2 linked regions of the Arabidopsis thaliana genome follow. The protein of the gene in region 1 purifies or fractionates together with the protein of each later gene. This does not show direct contact. Each region holds a gene or a part of one and is shown on either strand. Other genes may lie near its edges.

The links. Proteins that work in one complex are often made in the same cells at the same time.
Region 2: the proteins of AT2G20280 (region 1) and AT4G39520 fractionate together in Arabidopsis thaliana (co-fractionation; one large-scale study listed by BioGRID). This does not show direct contact.

What each region holds. Positions count from the first base shown.
Region 1 is NC_003071.7:8,737,723-8,745,780, forward strand, and holds AT2G20280 (Zinc finger C-x8-C-x5-C-x3-H type family protein), read right to left. Parts: upstream 4,929-8,058; 5' UTR 4,628-4,928; coding exon 4,457-4,627; intron 4,315-4,456; coding exon 4,230-4,314; intron 4,127-4,229; coding exon 3,986-4,126; intron 3,895-3,985; coding exon 3,803-3,894; intron 3,256-3,802; coding exon 3,064-3,255; intron 2,976-3,063; coding exon 2,845-2,975; intron 2,749-2,844; coding exon 2,646-2,748; intron 2,533-2,645; coding exon 2,332-2,532; 3' UTR 2,018-2,331; downstream 1-2,017. Other genes in the region: AT2G20270 (Thioredoxin superfamily protein), read right to left, coding at 279-355, 520-546, 706-861, 1,425-1,498, 1,609-1,895; myosin-like protein XIG, read right to left, coding at 5,553-5,670, 5,779-5,843, 5,933-6,013, 6,102-6,158, 6,263-6,319, 6,401-6,500, 6,592-6,662, 6,741-6,851 and 6 more.
Region 2 is NC_003075.7:18,368,865-18,376,090, forward strand, and holds AT4G39520 (GTP-binding protein-like protein), read right to left. Parts: upstream 5,376-7,226; 5' UTR 5,137-5,375; coding exon 5,095-5,136; intron 4,944-5,094; coding exon 4,890-4,943; intron 4,496-4,889; coding exon 4,319-4,495; intron 4,062-4,318; coding exon 3,990-4,061; intron 3,688-3,989; coding exon 3,628-3,687; intron 3,551-3,627; coding exon 3,441-3,550; intron 3,349-3,440; coding exon 3,049-3,348; intron 2,966-3,048; coding exon 2,774-2,965; intron 2,674-2,773; coding exon 2,622-2,673; intron 2,516-2,621; coding exon 2,465-2,515; 3' UTR 2,001-2,464; downstream 1-2,000. Other genes in the region: CYP96A12 (cytochrome P450, family 96, subfamily A, polypeptide 12), read right to left, coding at 81-1,607; AT4G39530 (Tetratricopeptide repeat (TPR)-like superfamily protein), read right to left, coding at 5,872-7,226. UniProt on the Arabidopsis thaliana protein: Binds GDP and GTP, and has low GTPase activity in vitro.

The DNA of each region.
Region 1 (8,058 bases):
AATTCATCTTTTATCTTTTACAATCTCAAGATCGATTTCCAAATATGCATTTAGCCACCCAAAAATGATTGCAAATTCCAAGTAGTGTGGATCAAACTCAGCAACTCCGGTTTAGTAACAGAACCCAGCATGACTCATTGACTGTTTTTTGTACGTAGAAAGAAACACAAGATTCTTATTGAAAATCTCTATATAGACAGTAAATTCAAACAGCAAATCATCTCGACTTCAATAAGGAAACATGAAGAATCACCAACCAGTTTCATCTCTAGAAATCTCTAGGTCTGACCGTTTTTTCCATTGGCTTCAGCTAAAATTGCTTCCAGCTCTCCTTTATTGTGCAGCTGCAATGTATCTGTTCAACAATAATGATATGCAGGTCAAGTTACCAGAAAAATCACAAGACATTGAGCAAGATCTTGAGTACTATCTATCTTGGTGCCAAAATACACAAAGACGATCTCAATTACATATTAGAAAAATCTCGGTGTTGAGGTAAGAAAGGAAGAGAGATTGTACCTGAGCAGCCACCAATGTGCTTGCCTCCTGGTCATGAACAAAAACATGATATCAAAATTAGATAAGTGATGGTCATAGCAAATGTAGTGGCTAAGATTTTATCGATAGTTTTGTTTTCAGGCAAAATAATCAAGAAAAATGATCAGAGTATAGTTAGTAACTGGCTTAAATGATGAAACAACTAACCGATGAAAACATTGGGAACAGTGTATTGTCCAGTAATTTTCTCCAACACATTCTGCAGCTGCGACCCTTCTGAACCTGGAAACGCCAAAAACCACCAAAACTTTTGTAAATGTTTCAGACCAATATCATGAGGCAGAGATGTTTTACCCAAAGAAACTAAACAAGACAAGAAAGAACAAATGGTTTTGGAAAGTCACCAAATCTTGACACGAGAAAAGATAACTAAGAAGATAGCAACATAATAGTTTCTAACAAATAGAAGCATACTGTCTAAGATTCAAAGGCAGGAAAGAATCTTCAATTTGAAAAATTTAAGCCATTAGAAGTACTAGCCTACCCGTTGATTCTTCATCAACAAGTCATTGGTCCAAGGAAAACTACAGTGGAAGTAAATTTTTCACATAAACAAGACACAGAATCTCTGAAATGTAAAGCTATCTTAGGCCATTAGAAACCCCCCTAACCATCATCAATCCTCCATCAAAATCTAATCAAAAAACATACAAACCAATTCAAGCAAGCAGCCAAATGAACCAGAAGATAAACAAGAAGAAGTTGGAAACAAGTATTAATTTCATCCAGTCAAAATGCTGAAACATTAGGGCACTTGTAACCAGCTCTTCCTTGATCGATATAAACAATATCACACACATTATCAAAACCAATATAGCAAACTACTCAGACCCATATAGCAAACCAAAGTAAAGAATTGAGCATACCAAGTTGATCCAATTCAACAACCAGTGGCTCAACTTGAAGACTCTTGAACAAGGACTTCACTTGAGACGAGTATCTTCACCACCAAAAAGAACAAACCCAGTAAAAGTATCAATATTGACAAACTAGATCATAAATTAACAAAACCCATTCCTCTAATTGAACCAAAAAGTATAGTGAACCTACGAGCACCAGGTTTTGGAGTAAACAACGACAGGGTTCTCTGCCACAGTCGTTTTAACAGTCTCCTCCAATGTCGATCCAGACGAAGACGATGATGAAGACATAGCCTTAACAGAAGAACAACGGAGTGGTGGCCACGACGCGATTCCGATAACTGTCGGCTTTAGACATCTCCTGAAAGGTAACATGCCCAAGTTTCTGATTCCGCTTAACATGGAGAAAGAGATTGCTGGATTTGAATTTAACGACGTCCATGTCATGTTCGCGAGGTTTACTGTTGCGGCTACCATGGCGATTTCTTCTTCCGACGAAATTGGATGCTTTTCTTATTTTTGCCCTCAGATTAATTTACCTCTTTTTATATCGCCGATATTTTTTGTTCTTTATTTATAAATATCAATAAAACAACTAAATATTCATAAGAATTGATTAAAATTCTTTGTTTTTAATACATTTCTGTAGTTTTTATTTTCTCTAGTAAGTTTACGACCTTTTATTTACACATCATGATAAAATTAACAACAACAAAGAAAGATGAAAATGATTGGACAAAAAAGATACTACTAGTTCTTTGATGAGGCCATTTAAGACTGTAAAACAGTAACAGAAATTATTCAACACCCCAAAATGGGGTTTGTGTCTGCAAAATCCAATCTATTGAAAGTACACAAAAACAAAACATGTGCTTTCTCTCCTCCACCTCTTCCTCTTAGACCATTTTTCATTTCAAGATGACCCTTCGTCGTTTGGCTCACGAATCTGGATCGATGTTTTCGACAAGCTTGCTTCCAATTCATCCAGCTCATCCATGTCTAGGTCATCATCATCATCATCGTCATCTTCTTCTTCTTCATTGACTTCTTTCGAACTCTGTTCAGCATCACCACTACTCTTGCTTGTCCCTGCCTCTGCTTCTTTGTTCTTTGCCTGAAAAGCAAAAAACTCAAGATTCCATTAACATGACTTGGTTGTTTTAAATGATGAGTGAGTGAGAGAGAGAGAGAGAGAGAGAGAGAGAGAGAGAGAGAGAGAGAGCTCACCTTTTGTTCAGTCTCTTCCTGCTCTCTTTCCCTCTCGTATTCTTCACAAGCCTCAGCATCATCCACAAACAAGCTTGCATTGGACAGAAACAGCTCCCGACCACTGAGGTTACAAATCCACACAATGAATCAGCTTCCAAGGACAAAAATAGAGTCACACTGGAGATGGATATGTAACAGAATGATGAATGGGGATTACCTCATACGGTCGTTCTTAGCTCTCTCCGCTTGAGAAGCAGCCAAACCGGCATCTCTCTCAGCAATTTTCTTCCTCTTCCATTCCATAAATAGTGCAGGAGTCATTTGTGTTGCGGTTTGCAGTTTTGCACGCTGAAACATAGAACAAGAAAACATGGGTCTCACAAATCAAGTACCGGGTCCTAGCAGCTATGAGGGAAACTTGAGGAGTATTTTAAACCTCGTTTTCGATTTCGTCCTCAACTGCCAGCTTCTTCGATGACTCCTCTTCCAAGAGGGCTTTCATTTGAGATTTAAGGACATATCCAGGAGGAAGCGCGTGTCTGTAATGACACTCTTTGCCACCATTGGGGCATGACCAGAACCACCCATACTGTTTCTTTTCCACAGCATCCAGAAAATACTTGCAAACCTATTATTTTTCAGTAAACACAAAAACAATTACAAGTCAATAAAACTCAGCGAGACAAATAACTCATGTGTTTAGGATAAGTTTATGAGATGATTATTGAGATGAGACGCAGAGATATTATTTCTTTTAGCATAGACGTATATAGTTAAGAAACATTTATTTCAAAATTATGATTAGCACTAACATCACCAAAAGCATGAGTTCTTGTCAGGCATGAACCAAGTGCGCAGAAAAACACAAGGGAACAACGGGAGGCATAATAACATCTAAGACCCTAATGGCTCTTAATATGAACCGTGCTATTAGCTAAAGGAAGCGCATCGTAAGGCGAATGCACATCAGCTAAAGGTTAATCACAGCAAGTGCAACCAAAACTAATGCATCACTTCACATAATACACGTTAAAAGGCTGTATATTTGAACACAAACCAGTTCAGACATTTTCACAGTGCATTAACAAGAGAAAAGCTACTAATAACTGATAAGCATGTCCCGACAAGCATATAATAAAAAGTCCGAGAAACACAAGATAAGAGAAACAACTTACGATATCTGTTGGCTTATTCTGATTATATTCATTTTTCTTTGATTCAACAACCTTTTCAAGGGTCTCTTGATCCCACTCATCCATATCTCCATCTAAAGCCATATAAAAAAGGCAAAAATATGACCATCATCCAAAGGACCAAAGGGATAGATATATAAGACACTTTGTGCCACACTTTTATACCTTCATCACGCGTATCACTGTAAATATCAATCTTCTCACCCTTCCTTTGAATGTTCAAATCATGAGAGAATTTGCACTTGAAACCCTTTTGACACTGCCCGGCCTTGAAAAACTCACAGAGTATAGACTTTGGATCCACACCTGCCAAGATACATCACCAAAAACAACACACCGTATTCAATAAATAATACCGAAACCAAAGTGAACAAACCAGAGAAACAGTATCAACATTCAACATACATACCTACAGGAACTTTGGGCTGACTAATAGCTACCTTGAACAACTCATTCAATTCCTGTTCTCTCGCTTTCTCTTCCTCTTTCTTTTTCTGTCCTCAAAAAAACCATTTTTCTTGGTAAGAACTTATCTCTCACACTAACTCATTAGACATATTCAAAAAATCTACTCCACTAGCCTCCTAACTTCAAATTCATGAAGAAAACTCAAAACTCATCTCAAGAGACGTGTACCTTAGCTGCAGCTTTAGTTGCATCGGGTTTAGGCTGAACAGATTGCTTGAGACTCTGAACATACTTCTGAACATTCTTGCTCTTGTTCTTGTTTTTCAATCCGAAAGTTTTGTCTTCCACTTGTTTCTGCTTCTTCGCCAAATCAGCCTTTGGTTGTTGCTTTGGAGGCATCTTCAAACACGTTCAATCGATTTAAGGAAAAAAAAAACGCAAACTTTTTTATTGTACACGGATCCGATGGAAGGTTCTCTAAAGCTAATGTATCAAAATTAGGGTTTCTAAGGTTCTGAGTGAAAACGAAAACCTAAATTTGATCGGTAAAAAAAATCCCAGAAATCTGTATTGAAGCAAAACGGCGGAGATGAAGAAAATTTGCCCAGAAACAGAGAGACCCTAATGAGTAAAATTACCGATCGAGATAGGAGAAAGAGATGAGACAAAGGTACAACATTTGCCTGGTATTAGCCATTTGTCTACACTGATACGAAACACTAGCTTTTACTATTGTTGGGCTCACCTCAATATAAATGGGCCTAAATTTATAGTCCATTTAAGGCCCAGTTTTAGGTCACTCATCTTATAAAATTTCCAAACCAGAAGAATGAAAAAATGCTGCCAAAAAAAGGAAAAATGAATCATAATCATGTTTTAATAATAATCAAGATTTAAATTAACACAATAATGCAATAATGAGAAAATGCAATAATACAATAATGCAATTTTTTTCTATTAACTTGATTCCTTTGTACAAACCATAAATGGGTGGAGACAACTTCTCAGACTCAACCAAAAAAAAGAGCTAAATTACAAAAAGAAATAAATTTTTATTTCAATCACGAAAATAATGAAAGAAAGACTGCACAACACCAACAAGAACAATCCATTAGCCAAGCTTTGTCTCTTTTTGTTTACTCCCAGCAAAACAACATATACTCTTTATGAAATCTCTGGGATGATTAGAGAATTACAATGATAAACAAATAAACAAATCGGCGAATCTAAAAATTTCTTCGCAGCAATTTTCTCTGAGATTCTTCTTCATGCTTTTGCATGGTGTTCTTGAAGGGTGGCAGTTTTGGTTTCTCTGAATTACTTACTAATGTAAGAATATGAAAGATGGATTTTCCAGAAGTTCCTCAGCAGGTTTCACTTGGGCAAAGTCCTTATCTTGCATTGAACTACATAAGTCATCGATCGACAAGGATATGATGTTGCTGTGCATGGCCAAAAGGAACGGTTTTGTTAGTTTCTAGAAAGATAAATGTCATCATGACTTTGGATCATAAAAGCAAAAGATAGAGATGATGCAAAGCTACACTTACCTAGAATCCTCTTTTAACAAGAAGTCGCTGCTGTCTGTCATAACTCCTGTCATGCTTGCAATTACCTATTGATCGATGAGCAAGCATTAAACTACTAGAGCAGAGGATCTTCATATATGTCAAGAGAAGAGAACTATTTCCTCAGAAAGCTTACATCTTGGGAAACACTCTTTGTGTTGTAGATTTCATCCTTGTACAGAGTACACAGTTTAAAATGCTGCTGTATTTGAAGGTTCTGAGTGAAGGTAAAATGGTGTAAGCATAATTACAATGTCAAAGTTCTCCAGTTATCGGTAAAAGAGTTGGTTGATAGAGAGACTTACTGGACACAGATCATTTGCAATCTCGTCGTATGAGATGTTGTATTTCTTATGGATGAGCTGTTGCAGACGCAAATTCAAGGGGGAAATATGTGAGAAATACAAACTCTTACTAAGATTCAAGTAAATTTGCTTAGACAACATTTCTTAAATTCAAAACATACCAAGAATCCAACAGCTTGTCTGGTATGCTTGAGTTCATCCCAGGATGAGCCAGCATACTATCAGAAGAGATATTGTGTTATGTATTAACCCAATTGACGATGACGAAAGAAGAGAAAGGAAACTGTACTTGGGATTACCTCTTCTTTTGTTTCGCAGCACCATTTCTCTAACTTTTCTAAACCAGATTTTAGATATTCTCCATTGATAAATGAACAGTTATCTGGACGCGTGACAAGGCTGCAGATCAGAAAGAAGAGGTTGATAATAGTCTGCTTATCATAGAGATGCATATTTAATATTCCATTGATAGACAATAACAATTTCTCACCTGTTACATACTTGGACATTGATGAGTGAGAAAGCCTGAGAGAATATCTTTTGGATAAGAACCGGAGGAACCTGTAACAACAATAAGCCATAAGAATTTCCTGACATTTAGAGAGATAAGAGCAGTGAGTGGAAACGAGTTTCACATACAAAGCTCTCTTTTAGTGTGCTTAGCAGTGCATCGAGGCCTTCAATAATGTCTTGCCAGTAGTTAGCAGTGGTTATAGATATTAGCGCATTCCCCTTAAATGTTTTTGGTGCCTAGAAAGATTCTCTCATGTCAGCTTACAACACATACATACAAAGGAAAGATGAAAGTAGAGAAGCATTGTGGATCATGTCACCTGGATGCAGAGAGCAAGGACAGTGTTCAACTCCTTTTTCAGGTTATCCCAAATGATTCCTAAAATCTTTTCAACATATGCTTCAAGTTGCTGCTTGAAATGCAAAGCTGGATCCTTGGCATCAACTGGTCGAATAGCTTCAGCCGCTGGAGAACGGAAACCCTGTTAAAATATAAGGTAAGGATTGTTTAGCTTTTGGAGCAGAAACTCATCAATACAAGATTAAAAAGAAAAAAAAAAGAGAGAAGAGTATATATACCTTGGTCATCCATCGGACTAAGGAAGGTGACTGTCGAAGTGGAGTGGCCCCGGTTCCACCAGATTTCAGACTTTGTTGGAGCATGAATAATAATGTTGACGTATTGGATAACCAATATGCCAAATTTGCGTCGTTATCTTCATCCTAAAAATAAGAATCACTAATCATTCAAATCTGATAAAAACCAGATTTGTACTGACGTAGACAAGACAGCATCCCATTTTAGTACCTTTATAGCAGAACCAATCATTTGAACGAGGCGATCAAAGACATTGGTTCTTTCAGCTTCAAAGGATTTCCAATGAAGAAGACATTTGTAGATGGTAAATGCCGCTACAGGCTTCCCCTGGCTGAATCCAACATTCTTTGTGACAGAGTTGATAAGGGCATCGACATCCTCCTTTTCCAAAAAACCCAACAAATCTCTCTTCAACCAAAGAGGGGATATATTAAAGATGAGAAGCACATAAAAGAGTAATTTAACGAAACAACATACATGTTGAGGATCAATATGGGATCCCCTTGACTTAGTGTCAGATCCTGATTCTTGTATCCTTGGTGGTGTTGTAAACTCCGCTCCCTGCAAAGACGGCTTTTAGAGATATATAAACAACTGGAGCAGAACTTCATATAAAAGTAGACAGAAAAGGAAAGACATAATTTACACTGAGTTGACTTTCTTCGCTAGTAAAAAGGCCATTTTGCAAGTTCTAAACAAATACGAGCAATATTGTAATTAGGATGATTGAGAGAGTCAGATGTAGACATCCAAATATTTCTCTGGGCATGTCTACCTTTAATGGAGTAGAAAGGAATCGTCCTGATGCTGTCTTAACAGGAGTGGTTAAGACAGATTCCTTCAAAA
Region 2 (7,226 bases), on another chromosome or scaffold:
ATCCTTTGTTATAGCATCTATCTCCGATAGATTTTATTTCAACGGAAAAAGGATTAATTTAAGCATTATACATACAAATTTCAAGCTGAACATCTCTTAGTAATTGTGACTCTAAGCCCATGCTTCATGTGCAACATAAGACCAGGTTCTGGCTCAATCTTCTGTCCTTTGATAACATCAATATCATAGTTTTGTAATATCTCCACAACTACGGTCTTCATTAGAGTCATAGCTAATTGCTTACCAGGACAAGTTCTCGGACCGGCGTTAAATGATAAAAACTTGAAGGAAGGTGCATGTCTCAACCCACCGGACTCAGAAACCCATCTCTCTGGCTTGAACTCTGTTGCATCTTCTCCCCAAACCGCTCTCATCCTTCCCAACGCGAAAAGAAAAATTATGATGACTGAGTTTGCTTCTACCTTATGCCCACTTGGCAGCACATCTGGCTTTATAGGAGACTTGCGTTGGAAGGCAACCGGTGGATAGAGCCTCATTGATTCATACAACGCCGCATGTAAGTAGACCAACTTGTCTAAGTTCTCTTGGCCATTTCTTCCGTCTTTTGAAATATTTTTGTCGATGATCTCTTTACGAATCTTTGTTACAACTTGAGGGTTTTCAGAGAGAAGCCAAAAAAACCAAGAGAGAGCAGAAGACGTTGTGTCTCTCCCAGCAAGATTGAAAGCTAAGATGGTGTCTCTGAGGAACTTATCATCACTCGGGTTCAAGAGCTCGTACTTGGTTGTATCAAGCTTTATGTGAGATGTCAAAAGATCCTCACTTTCACCATTTGCATGATGATCAATCCCCTGTGACCTTATCTCTTCTCTCTTAGCTAATATGTATTTCGCAGAAACGCGATCAAAAGTGGCATCAGCTTCAGTCATCCTCTTCTCTTGCCCTAACCCAAACCGGTTTTGCAGCTTCCAGAAGAACTTCGGTTTAATGTGCCTATAAAAAATCCCTTCTCCAAGATCGTCAAGAGCTTTAGCATACTCCACTTCCGGCATTTCAATAGAGAGAGATTTAGGATCAAACCCGGTAACAATAAAGAAAGTTGTATCAAAAGTGAATCTTTGAAACACTTGCTGCAAATCCACGACCTTCTCTTCCTCACAACATTGATTGAAAAGAGGAACAAGACCATCGTAAAGCTTACTCCTCGTTGCACTCAATGATAGCTTTTGAAAGCCTTGATGATTAAGCATGAATTGAGCAGCTTTTCTTTGATTCTTCCATAGCTCCGAGTCCGAACTAAAGATCATTTCTCCAAAAACATCAAAGACTTCTTTAAAGTCGGCACCTTTGGTATAGTTGGAGAAGTTTGAGCTCAATATGTAGTGAATATTAGCTGGATCAACTGTGAACAACATATCCATTTCAGCGAACCACGGTCCCTTAAATAGAAAGGTTAAGTGGCTCATTTCAAGAGCCTCCACGCCGAAGTTGTAGATGCGGTGGAGAACCATCAGGAAGCCTGGAAGCATCCCAATAACTGGCCAGTTTCGAAAAACCTGACCATGAGGTTTCTTGAAGTACATGTAATAGAAGAAGAAAAGGCAAATGATGGCTATGGCAACGTCAAGTAAGCTTACAGAAGCCATATGAGAGAGTTAGGAGCTTGGTTTACAGACACAATATGGTGGTGGTTCCTTTTGTGTGTTGAAGGAACTTGTTTATATAGAGTAAGATTATTACATATATAAATTAGCAACCAACAAAAAGAAAATTTATTAAAAAAGAAAGAAATTACCAATGCATTCATTCAACTGCTTTTCATATCTTAAGAATTAAGATTAGTGAAAGTGTTAAGCTGGTGAAGCTACTAACCACACAAATGGATGAGACAGAATTGGTGGAGGACTTGTAAAGAAGGGTCCATAATCTTACAATTTCAGACACTAAATGACAAACCAACTTTAAGAGGATAGACAAATCGAGAAGTGCATCAGAATTCACGGTCCCAGACACTGCAACGAAGGTCGTTGTAATAGTTTTCCAAATCTATTAATGTCATTAAATTTAATCAACAGTCCAAGTAACAACTAACTGTCAGAAATAATAACACCTCGACCTGGTCAGTGCAATGAAGGCCGTTTTAACAGTTTTTCTTTATTACATGAAGAAAAACTGAATCATATGTTTAGTAAATAAAATCCAAAAAAGTCTAGTTGCATACATAAAAACAAGGGAGGAGAAAATCTAGGCAAACCCATACTGGAGATAATAGGAGGTGTTCCGACAACATCAATCACATGCTTAATAGTATTATTGGAAGAAGACAAAAGTATCTAATAAGACATAAAAAAGGGTGTAGACACAGATTTCGTCTGGATATAATAATACAATTACAAAAGAAAGATAAAGCTGAGAAACCAAAAGAAATCCTGACCTTCCTATAGGAGATCTCATTATGGCTACTTTGGTTGGTCTCTTGACTGCTCTCCATTATCTGCAAAAATCATATCTTTTTAACGATCTGAACAACATCCTCGTCCTCAAGCTCGTGTTCCTGAAGTATAAAATACGATGTCGAGACAGCAATAGTTAGTTAGTCAGGGATATTGCAATATCGATTTACCAGATTAACTTTTGTTTGATTTGCTAGAAGAACTAACCTTTCCAACTCTTTGTGGCTTGTGTTTGGCACTTGAACCCCAAACCAGAGCGCTGTATCAGGAGATCATTAGTTAAGTATTCATGAGCGATGCTTTTGAGCAAGAACCATATAACAGAGAAAAGAAAAATGTTAAGGATTTTAATTACTTACTACTTGAATTGTTTAAGCATGTCTTTGTGAATCCGGATGCAGAAGTCCTCTACTGTTCTCTTCTTGGATGATAAGATTACGGGATCATCATAATCCGGATTCATTGCCTTTGGTTTTGTGTAGATTCGAGTTAGATCCAAGTATTCCCATATCTTGTCCAGAAGTCCATCAAGATTCCACTCCAGATGCGCACTGCAAGATAAATAAATTTATATCTTAATGGCAAAAGTAAACAAGTTTATCGCAAATCCTGCCGGTAATTTAACAACATTTACCTGACAGGACAGTAATGAGGAAGTTTGTCCAAAATTTCAAGTTCCTCAAGTGTGATTGAATCGATCTTGTTGACAGCATAGATACAGGGCATATAAATCCGACTGCCCTCGATGACATCAATGAGGTCATCAGCGGTTGCATCGTAGCGCAGGGTGATGTCAGCATTGTGCATCCTGTACTCACCGCAAATCGCCTTGACGGTGTCAAGGTCAAGGTGTGTGACAGCGACTGTAGAAGTTAGATTGATACCACCTTTGTCTTTTTTCCTAAATGTTAAATTTGGTGGCTCCTTGTTCAACCTACATAGCAACAGTCCATGATCGAGTCAGACTATCTACCAGAAACGATCAAATATACAGTGTATAAAGGTTGTTATATAAACAATCTATACCTTATTCCGAATCCTTCGAGCTCTTTTTCAATGAGACGCTTGTGAGTAATTGGTTTTATGGCATCAAGAACTATTAAGATGCAGTTGCATGTCCTAGCCGTACTTATAACCTGGAAATAGTAAAGTGTGAAAGATGATCAAAGAGGGTCAAAATATAAAATACTCAAGAGATTTAGACTCGACTTACCTGTCTTCCTCTACCTTTTCCATCTTTAGCACCCTCAATAATACCAGGAAGATCTAATAACTGCAAACACATAGAAGGGGACATAAAAAAGAGTATTAGCATCAGTGTCCAATGAATAATTACAGGTCGTTTCCTGACTTAAACTAAGTACCAAGAAGTCATTAAAAGATCAAGCAAGATACATGTTTAATATAGAAGTAAGACTCGAGAAAAGATAATTACAAGCTAGGACATGGCATATGTAGCCAAGGATTTCATTGTGTTTCAACAATTACCAAGACAGAGGAAACACTATCCAAGAATTATCATTTTTCCCCCACAAATAACAGATTAACACAGACGCATAGATGTAGATACCATACCTGGATTTTAGCTCCACGATATGTGATAACACCAGGAATGCATGTCAAAGTCGTGAACTCATAAGAAGCAACCTGAGAAAACATTGTGTATCACAGTATGTACCTTCAGAAAATTGAGTATCAGCCAAAATACAGTTCTAATTCCAAGATTTATGTTCATCTATCCAGGAAAAGACTAGCGCCGAACAGTCTTGCCTTATAAGTGATATTGCACAGGAAGTTGGTCAAAAAGTAACTAGAAATAGGATGCCATGGATACGTGGTAGGTTTCAAAATTCCAATTACAACAAGAGAAAGGAAGTTCAATATTCGTAACGATAACTACAAACCTCGGAAAATGTCCCAGTCAGCTTGTTTAATAGCGTAGATTTTCCAACCGAAGGAAATCCGACCAGTCCAACTCTAGAATCTCCACTTTTAGTCACATCAAAACCTTCTCCAGCACCACCACCGCCACCTTTGGTAGGCGGTGCAAGAAGGTCCCTCCGAAGCTTAGCAAGCTTGGCCTGCAAAATGGACCAGTGAAATATGACGAGAAGCTAATGGTGCAGGAATAAGTACCAAATTCTAAAATCAATACAGAATAATATATAATGCCTGCCTAGTAGTTGTTTGATCCAAGGAACTTCACAAGAGATCATGCCGTAAATAAAATATCTCAGCTTTGTGCTTATTCAATGATTTGGGAGTTCGTATAAAACATAAACGATTTCAACCAGAAGTTAAAATATTTCTTAATGAGCTTGCTTACTGGTTGGGATTTCATGATAGCTTTTATCAAGTATCAAAACAGATATAAACCAATCAACCAAATTTGCATTTGATAAGCAAAAACACCTCAACCAATCAACCTCACTCTCAAAGCTACAAAAAACGACCTAAAGAGGAGAAAAAATGTACCTTTAACAAACCCAGATGATGAGAAGTAGCTTTATTCTTCTGTGTTTTAGCCATCTGCCACATAAACAAAAAAAACCTCGTACTTGTGAGTCACCCAGATTGAAAAATCATTTCTTTGATTCAGAATAGATATTTCGGATTCACAGTTCTATGCATCCAAAATTGAAGAGAAGAGGTGAAGAATCAGAGAGGATTGAATAATTACCTCATCTTCAATTTCTTTGATCTTCTGCATAATAGTCGACATGGTTGCAGTCAAAGCACAGAGAGCTCACGGAGACAACGTCAAGGAAAAGAGGTTATACGCGAGTGAAAGGAAGAAGGACACCGGAATCTCTGATGCAGAGAAATTGACGACGACGGACGAGACAGAAGCAGAGGAATCCCGAGGGTTTTCGTTTCGTCCACCTGATTACGACAAAGGAGAAAAAACTAGAACAGAACTGTCTAGAATTCGGCCTGACCCAACAACATTTTAGGCCCATATATGTCCGATTTGGTTTTCCGGTTTAATAAAATTTACAACAGAATGAGAATTTAGTTTGGTTATATACAATAAACCCTGTTCTGAATTTTTGTTTTGTTTTGTTTTGAATTGGTGTTTTTCGGTTTTAGTTGATTTCAAAAACGGTTTAACTAAATTCAAATGAATCATGTACAACATACCATTCATGCATTCACCATTACAACTTCTCTCTCAACCCGGTTTTAGGAGATGATGAGAAGAAACTGAGAACTGAACCGGGGTTAATTTTTGAGTCTTCCTTCGGATTTGAACGGAACAGAATCGATTTTCCCTTGATTACAAAACTTAATAGCAACATCTTTGCTCTCCTGAGCTAGCTACCCCTTCAGCTTCTCGATATTAACCATGGCTTATTCTTTCTTCTTTGGCTCGCTTTTAAGCTTCATCTGCTGCATTGGTCTTTAACCAAATAGAGTCCATCACTCCAATAGAAAATGAGTTCTTGTATGGTAGTTATTAACTAACTCCTCTGATCTGCACAAGTAAGTCGTCTAACACTTCATAAATTTGATTAGCCTTGCAGTGAGATTTATCCTTAGACAAAAATATATGAACCTCCTTATTAATCCCAATCCAACTACGTCCAGGTTCTTTCACCACACCTTCAACCTTCATTCTTTCTCTCACCTTCTTAGCTTCAGTCCACATACCCTTGGACGCGTAAATATTAGAAAGCATAGTAAACGATCCACTGTCCTTGGGATCAGACAAAATAGCCATTTCAGCAGCATGTTCAGCTAACTCGACGTTACCGGCCTTTGCGCATCCACTCAGCAAGCTCCTCCATACTATAGCAGCTGGTTTTGTCGGCATTTTCTCAATTAACTCCCTTGCTTTGTTCAATCTACCAGCACGGCCTAAAAGAGATACCATACAAACATAGTGCTCAGTTTCAGGTTCAATTCCAAATCGAAGCATTAACTCAAATTGCTTAAGTCCATCTTCTACAAGACCAGCATGGCTACACGCTGATAGAACTCCAACAAAGGTGATGTAGTTAGGCTCTATTCCCTCACTCATCATTTTTTCAAGCATCTGAAGAGCCTTTTTGCCTTCTCCATGATTCGCATAAGATGAGATGACAGAATTCCAACAAACTACATCTCTTGAAGCTGCTGAATCAAAAGCCTTATGAGCGTCTTCGGGACTACCACATTTGGCGTACATATCTAGTAGAGCATTTGTAATATACGGATTACATTCCAAGCCTCTTTTCAGAAGCTGGCAATGGAACTCTTGACCCAATTGAACACTTGCTAGGTTGCCAGCTGCTGTAACCATGTTGGCAAACGTGAATTCGTCAGGTCTTTCTCTTGATAACTGTAATTCCAGAAACAGGTTGAGAGCTTCTTCGTTCTCTGATTGTTGAACATAACCTGCAAACATAGAATTCCAGATAACAAGATCTTTCACTTTCATTTCATCAAACACAAGCCTGGAATCCTTGAGGCAGTAGCAATTTGAGTAAACATCAATCAAAGCGCTTCCAGCAAATATATCTAAGTTTAACCCATATTTGAACATCAATCCATGGATTTGTTTACTCAGTCCCAAGCTTGTTAAAGAAGCAGATGCACGTAGAAGGCTAACAAAAGTCAATAGGCTAGGTCGAATCAATCTGAACCTCATGTCACGAAAGATGTTCAATGCTTCATGTAGTTCCCATTGTGTCCCAAGTCTCGAGTAACCTTCAATCATTGCATTGAATAAAACCACATCAGCAGCAGCGAAAATATCAAAAACTTTTCTGGCATCGGTCAAACAGTCACATTTCGCATACATGTCAATCAAGCTGTTAGTCACATAGCTAT